Nothobranchius furzeri: one gene and its partner. The protein of the gene in region 1 purifies or fractionates together with the protein of each later gene. This does not show direct contact. Links are inferred from orthologs where the notes say so. Each region holds a gene or a part of one and is shown in the gene's direction. Other genes may lie near its edges.

Region 1 (3,602 bases):
GGTTATAAAATGAAGACCGATCCAGAGACGATACTGGTTTCCATGCCACCCATCCTCTCATCTGCAGCTCTGTCTTCTCCAGTTTGGATCCAAAGTAGTGAGGGTCAACAACCAGTAGGTAGCTCCCATTGGTCCCAGTGCACACCCCCAGTATGCCCTTAGAGGAGTTGTCCCTGTCTCCCCCCATCATGACCGGAGAACCGTGCTTTTCAAAGTGTCGATGGAGTTCTTCTACAGCGACCTGCTCCAGCTCTGCTCCTCCACCTCTAACATGCACCAGCTTACAGGGAACATCATAGAGATAGTCCAGAACCAGAGAGGCTTCAAACGTTCCAATCCACTCCTTGGATCCAGAGAAGGAGGCTGGCTTGTCCCCCACTGAAACCAAGGCTTGTTGGATTTCTGGGAGGCTTGGAGCAATTTTGTTATGGTCCTTATGAGGAGAGCAGTTAAAGTAAATCCAGGAAGCCATTGTCTGAAGGGTACGATAACCACACCCCCAGCCTCTGTCATCTTGTCCATCGCAGCCATAATAGAAGTAGAGAAAATCTCCTTTGATCAATGAACGTTTCACAGGGCCAGGAAGTGGCACAGGAAGTCCAGTCTGTACGTTCTTTAACAAGGTTTCAGTCTTCATATTAATCTCCTCTACGTCACACATACCCCAGTCAATTTTTCCCTCGCGCGCCATTTTTAAAAACTATTTTCATCAACCACAAACAAAGTTTTAATTAATTAAATGTCCAAAGTTGTGTTTATGCGGCAGCCATCTAGTGTAACTAAAACAACATTCCCCAATGTCCATATGCTCGAATGAGGGTTCCGTCTTAGTGTTTTTAATGACGCTACTAATCTACTTCCGGTGTTGTGCCGAAAACTGCAACCCCTTCGTAAGGCGAACCCCAAAACAAGTAGAACTTGTTTTCGCCAATAAACCAATCGAAATAAATATTTCAAACACAAAGATATAAAGTTATCTTTGTGACTTTCTCTGCGCAATTACATGTTATGGGGTTAACCTTTCAGTCTTCACGCCAATGACTATTTAGCCAACATGTACACCAAAATAAATACATTAATATATTCATGTTCCTAACTGTGATGAGTAAACATAAACTCGTTTATAATATCGATTTGATTTAAACTGCTGTAAATTCCGCGAACTGGTTCTTTTACTTCCGGCTACGTTTGTCGGCACAACACGTGTAGCAAATCTACTTCCTGTTTTGCTAGCGTTCTGGAAAAAATGTCAGCGACGTGCTGAAGCTAATTTCAGAGTGTAACTCGTTATCTGCAGGTAAGTTGGCCTTTTATGATGAAAATTTAAATGTAAGTTAGAAAAATTACTCACGCTTACTCGATTAGTTATTTCGTTTTTCTATCGGGTTAACCAGAACCGATACTTAGTCCTAAATGAGATATTAAGCGTTCTCAGTCTTGGATTCGGGTTTGCATCAATAAAAATAAATGAACAGAGAGTGATATTCATGACTAACACATTTGTTGAGACGTTTTAGCAATTACTGGATATCTAACCATTTTTGTGGAAAGGTCAAATAGAAAAATAGAATGTTGAACCTTGTTTTTATTGTACTTTGTTTCACGAAATGCTATAAAGATTAGTAAATTTAGTCTTGTTGATGTTCCAAACGGCTTTGATTTACCATTTTCCTTTCACAAAATGTTTCTGTAAGTCATGCAGAAGTAACCATGATCTATGTAATATTCTACCAGCTGAAAGTCCCAGCTGCGTTGTAGGTGGTTTCGTCATAATCATCTATCAAATGCACTATCCGAAATGTCTATTGTTTTATTTCTGCTAATAAGGGCTATCTGTTTTGTCACATAACTAATTTATGAAAACCCTTTTTTAATTTTTTACTTAAAGTGAATAGGTGAAACGATGTAATGTTTTGTTTTATTTCCTTGCTTACTTCTGAAGTTCTCTCATTTGGACCTTTATTCTACAGACAAGGACAAACATGACTGAGCCACGAAACCCTGGGATGTCCTCCGCCCCTCAGGTGAACCCAGCACACGCTGAGTCCAGCTCTCCAGCTGTAGAGATGGATCCGGTGGAGTACACCCTGAGGAAGCGTCTTCCTCGCAAACTCCCCAAGAGGAGGAACGATGTCTACGTGAACATGAAAACGGATTTCAGGGCCCAGTTAGCTCGCTGTCAGAAGCTCCTGGAGGGCGGCGGTCACAGGGAGATCTGCATCCACGGTTTGGGGCTCGCCATCAACAGGGCGATTAATATTGCCCTCCAGCTGCAGACCAGTAGTCAAGGAGCCCTGCAGCTGGCTGCCAACACGTCCACGGTGGAGCTGGTGGATGACCTGGAGCCTGAAGATCCTGATGAGGCTGGGGAGCCAATGACACGTACACGCAACAACTCAGCCATTCATATTAAAGTTTTTTATCCTGAACCTTAAGTGACTGTTGCATTCAACAGAAACTCCTTTTTGTTCTCCAATAATTCCACAAACAAAAAAAAGGTCTCCTGAGACATCTTCGTGTAGCAACCCATCAACATCACCTGGAGTCTTCACAACGAAGTATTCAGAACATTTCATAGTCATCATCCTTGTTGTGCTTTAAGTGTTGTTCACCACGTAAAACTTTATTTAGATCTGATGTTTCACATACAGCTGTACTTTTATTTAATTTTACTTCCACCAGATTGTTCTTGATTATAGAGAACAGAAATCAGTTTATCATGTGGGTGTAGTTATTGTAAATGTCCACTAGGTGTCAGTATTTATCTTGTAATGGATATTTAAAACTTCAATGGCAGCATTTACCAACAGCTGTTTACAGTGTCGGTCAGCTGTGGGTCAGGAAGACTTCAGAAGTATTTATTTATCTGATCTTTGAAGGGTTTCTGGTGTTTATTTGGTCAAAGCTGATGTACTTGATTATGTATTTGATAAAGTTACTTGAATCAGTACATCTTTGTATACCAGTTCCTCAAACATTTTAGGGGAAAAGCATCTGTGCAGCGTGTGCGTCATGCATTAATTACTTGTTCTGAACGTCTGCTTTCTGAGAAGTTTGCTTTTTACTTCCACCACTCCGAGATAAAGAATGAAATGAACAGACTTCCCGTTGTGTTTCCATCCAGCCATCCTCTCTTTATCCAAACATGATATTTTGTATTTAAATAGTGAATTCTGCAGTGATGGGACAAAACAATACAAAAAACAGGAAAGAAAATAGATAAACATCCTCGAAAACTTCTTAAAAACAGCAAAATATAAAAACAAGGAAAGACAACAAAAACAAACAATTATTGTGAACAGTAGAGCATCCCTTTTAAATTAAAAAGTTCTGAGAACTGCCTGTTTTCAGTTTGGTGACGAAAAACAGAGGAAGGGGAAAAACAGTGCTAGCGTCAGGCTCTGGAAAGCTATTTGCAATCACAGCTCCACAGGATGTTAATTGTAAATTTTTCCAGGCAGTCTGGCTATCAGCGTATGGAGACGGGATGAATGTTGGTGTTAGAGAGACTGAAACATAGATAACAGCTTCTGAGTTCTCATGTAACCCTCCACAGCGAGCTCTCGCTCTCACACAACAGCTGAGGTGACAATCAGCGATGA
Region 2 (3,974 bases), on another chromosome or scaffold:
AACACAGCATCTGGCGGGAAAGAAAATCCTCAGAGGTCTTAACAGGGAAGCCATTCTGGACCGGACCTGCTGGATTAGGCCAGACTGATCTGAACTGGATTGGTGTGGTTCTGCTGCCTCAGCCTGCACACAGAGTCTGTTTTTATGTTTCTGCAAGATGTTCATTAATGAAGCTGATACTAACCTGTTTACCAGTCATAAGCAGCAGTTTTCCACTCAAACTAGTCTGATCAGGTCTGATTTAAATACACTTTTCTGAATAATTATTCTTGTGACCTCCAACAATTATTCTCACACTGCATCAGATTTATTTCACAGGCAGAAGTGTTAGATCGGTAGGATGCCCTGTTTAATAATCAGGGATTCTGTAAATCTGCTCGTTTCTGTTAGGTTACACTGAAACTATAGATTCGTGTCAGGCTAGTGGTTCTGAACACAAAAACCCGCTCAGAGTTCAGGCTGACCCGCTTTGTTATAGCAGTGTAACATCCACTTTGGTTCGGTTTAAGCGCGAGAATCTCAGACGTCTGCAGTAAATTTTCGACTTTTCACTGACCTCTGACCTTTTCTTCTTCTGCTGCTGCTGTTTGTTCCCTGAGCAGCGGTTTGGCACGGCTGCCCCCTGCTGCCAGACTGTTGTTACTGCAGCTGCAGTTCTTTGGAAGCAACAAAGTAAATAAAAATAACCTAGTGAACTACTAGACCTCTTGCGTTGCAAAGTTTAAATAACAGATTTATTTAGTCTGGCTTGCCAGGCTAGTGTAAAGCAGTAAATATGATTGATTTGAACTTTAGTCAAAATTTAGAAAATGAAAAATGAAAGTATTTGATTTCTTTGTAATTTGTCTGTCCTGGTATTAAAGTGATACTAAAATACTTTCTATAATAAAACAAAAATGCACCTCTGTTACTAATGTATGCTTAAATTAGTCATATTGTGTGTGCGTGCACGCACGCGCGCGCGCGCGTGTGTTTAAGTCACTTTAAAACAAGATACGTCTTCCCAGGAGGAAATATCCAAACAGGTTCATGTCAAATTGAGAAAAAAGATTAGCTTTATCACAGAATCCACTGGTTTTCTTCTTTTGTCGTTCTTGGGCTTGGGGCTTCCGCCACCAGCAGGTGGCGGTAATACAAAATATTCTGTGTCAGCCTCAGCCCGTGTCACTCACTCATCGAGAACAAGACTCCAGCTCCCAGCAAGCCTTGCGGTTTTCTATATGTGGAGCTGTATAGGTTCGTGGTACCATGTCTGTGTTTATGGACCTAAACGTGATGTATTCGTCTAATATAAAGCAATTGCAGAGTTTGGTGGAAACAGCTGCTCATCGTGAGTATTCTCGACCTTAAACCAGACCTTTTCTAGTGTTGTGTTTAGTTGGTCCGCCTCGTAACTCAGCTGGTTTTGGTTCGGCTGATGAGGCTCTGGTATCAGTTAAACACTGTCAGTAAATGACTTGATTTGTTAAGATATTAATCGATAATGCTTGTTTATAACATCACTAAGAACAACCCTTATCACTAGATTTTGTGGGAAAAGTTGAATCCGTTTATTAGAGAAATAATCGATCACAGCTTGTTTGCATCTAAAACCCACAAACCCGTAACATCGCCTTGGATTATGTACTTTTGATTAGGAACAATATTTCATAACAAAGCATTCTTTGTTGTCCATTTGACCCTTTGCACGTGCGTAACTGAACAATAACTGTTGAGGATAAAGCCTGAGACATAATCATTACGTCTGACAGGAAACAGAAAGATATCAGATGTTTACTTGATCTTCAGTAGTTTGGAGTATTTACATCAGTGACTGTGACAGGATCGTGATATCCACCTGATTCACACAAACAGAGCTCTTAAAGCACTCAATTTCCTAAACCCTACACAACCACAGATCCAGAATCAGAACCTGGATGATGCAAACCTCACTGAAGGGATTAACTGGGATTTTGTTTTCCCCTCCTACAGTTGGATATTCCACGGTCGCCATCAACTATGTGTTTGAGCTCGTAGCCAAGAAGAAACAGGTCAGACTACCTACTGCGCTGCATTGAGGAACAGCATGGAGTCAGATAGAAGCCTTTGATGTGGCTGCGTTTTGATACTTTATTACATTCTCATTCATTCTTATGAACAGAAACATCCAAATGGTAAAACATCAAAACGGGTTTTATAAAACTGATCTCCGAGCATTCACTTGATCTCTATGGTTAAGCAGATGCTGAATCAATCAGTTGATTGTCAATGAATTTACATTTTGTTTCAAACTTTTATTATTGGGAGTATGTTTATTTTGTCTTTGCAGGAAATTCCCTCACCAAAGCCGATCAATGAGATCTTTGATAAGCTGCCCATGGTGCAGGGCCGTTCTCGTCCAATCAGAGTGCTGAACAGACTGACGCTGGTGATGTCTGACGCCAGTCACTATGTGAGTTGTCTAATTAGAGCTAAGGGATCAATAATCTTGAAATGGATTGTATGATGTGATGCCACAGCCTGTTTTGTGTGTGTGTGTGTGTGTGTGTGTGTGTGTGTGTGTGTGTGTGTGTGTGTGCGTGCGTGCGTGTGCGTGCGTGTGTGTGCGTGCGTGCGTGCTCACAGCCGACCAACTCTCCAGCTTTTCGATTTTTCGACCTCATCGCCCTCCATTCAAGCTCTGAGAAAGTCTTCCATGTGAGCTTCACTGACACTCTGTTCATCTCTCCAACAGGATGATGCTTTCACTGACTACAGGAATGTTGATGGATGAAATATGTGACTTTAAAAAATCAACTTACTGGAAAAACGCACAACAAAACTAAACAAAAGACCATCTGAAACACAACTGGATATTTAACAAAAGAAAAGTTTAAAAAAGACAAAAAAATAATAAATTGACAACATTTAATTAGAAAACACAACAGGACCTAAACTGCAATTTCACTGAATGGAAAAGTTTTCAAGAAACACAACATTATAAAAAATAGAAACTAACTGTGGTTGTAATAGCAGTAGCTGTAATTTGTCCTGGAAAACACAGCTGTACAATAATTACACCTGTATGAAACAGACTGAGTGGAAAGCACTCTATTTTTACTGAAGTATGTGTATTATGTGTGTGTGTGTGTGTGTGTGTGTGTGTGTGTGTGTGTGTGTGTGTGTGTTATTCAGGCAGCTTGCACGTTGTACGATATCGACATCATCTGCATCCCAGTGACAGAGAAGCTACCCTTTTTCTTCAAGAGAGCGCCGATCAATGCGGTGACAACCAAGGCTTTTGTTTGTTTGTTTATTTGTGTGTGTGTGTGTTTTAATGAATGTGTGAACCTGTGTAAGTTCAGGCCATCGAGAGAGGCGTTGCATTTGAGGTATCCTATGCTGCAGCCATCAGAGACTCTACCATGAGGCGCTACACCATCGCCAACGCCGTGTGCCTGATGGAGAGCTGTAAAGGGAAGGTATGCATGTCCTTGCATCTGATTGGCTAGCTGCAGAGTAATTTACACTATGCTGTTATTTGACATAAGCTCTGTGACATCACGTTGCAGGTGAGATCTTGAGCTCTGTTTCTGTTTTTCAGAACGTGATCCTGTCGAGTGCAGCTGACAAGGTCAGTGATCAGCTACGTCTGTGGATCAAACATGAATTTAACTAAAGGTTCTGTTTCACCAAATCAGAACATTTCTAATAACTGAGTTTTAGCCCTTTTTGTCCACCGTACTTCTCTGACCTGATATTTGTGTTTTCAGTCTTGGGAGCTCAGAGGACCATATGACATCGCCAACCTGTATCCTTTAACCATTGTTCATTAATCTGACATAGGGCTCAGTGTTGCCGCAGTCTGTGAGATATCAGAACAGACCATCGTGTGTGTTTTCACAGAACTGTGTCTGGTGTGTAGTGTTGTACAACACATTTCATGTCTTGCGTTCCTGATCTGGTTCTCAGAGGTCTGCTGTTTGGTTTGTCCAACCGAGATGCTAAAGAATCTA

The links. The genes of interacting proteins can lie anywhere in the genome.
Region 2: the proteins of pop7 (region 1) and rpp30 purify together in Homo sapiens (co-immunoprecipitation; 4 studies listed by BioGRID and IntAct, counting the BioPlex papers as one, with this or other methods). This does not show direct contact. The link is inferred for Nothobranchius furzeri from reciprocal best matches to the Homo sapiens genes POP7 and RPP30.

What each region holds. Positions count from the first base shown.
Region 1 is NC_091742.1:83,870,045-83,873,646, forward strand, and holds pop7 (ribonuclease P protein subunit p20), read left to right. Parts: upstream 1-1,184; 5' UTR 1,185-1,297; intron 1,298-1,970; 5' UTR 1,971-1,982; coding exon 1,983-2,435; 3' UTR 2,436-3,102; downstream 3,103-3,602. Other genes in the region: ufsp1 (ufm1-specific protease 1), read right to left, coding at 1-691. UniProt on the Homo sapiens protein: Component of ribonuclease P, a ribonucleoprotein complex that generates mature tRNA molecules by cleaving their 5'-ends. Also a component of the MRP ribonuclease complex, which cleaves pre-rRNA sequences.
Region 2 is NC_091756.1:51,153,159-51,157,132, forward strand, and holds the start of rpp30 (ribonuclease P protein subunit p30), read left to right. Parts: upstream 1-1,174; 5' UTR 1,175-1,248; coding exon 1,249-1,330; intron 1,331-1,971; coding exon 1,972-2,030; intron 2,031-2,308; coding exon 2,309-2,431; intron 2,432-2,604; coding exon 2,605-2,676; intron 2,677-3,153; coding exon 3,154-3,243; intron 3,244-3,323; coding exon 3,324-3,440; intron 3,441-3,562; coding exon 3,563-3,592; intron 3,593-3,731; coding exon 3,732-3,769; intron 3,770-3,930; coding exon 3,931-3,974. Other genes in the region: nudt13 (NAD(P)H pyrophosphatase NUDT13, mitochondrial), read right to left, coding at 1-165. UniProt on the Homo sapiens protein: Component of ribonuclease P, a ribonucleoprotein complex that generates mature tRNA molecules by cleaving their 5'-ends. Also a component of the MRP ribonuclease complex, which cleaves pre-rRNA sequences.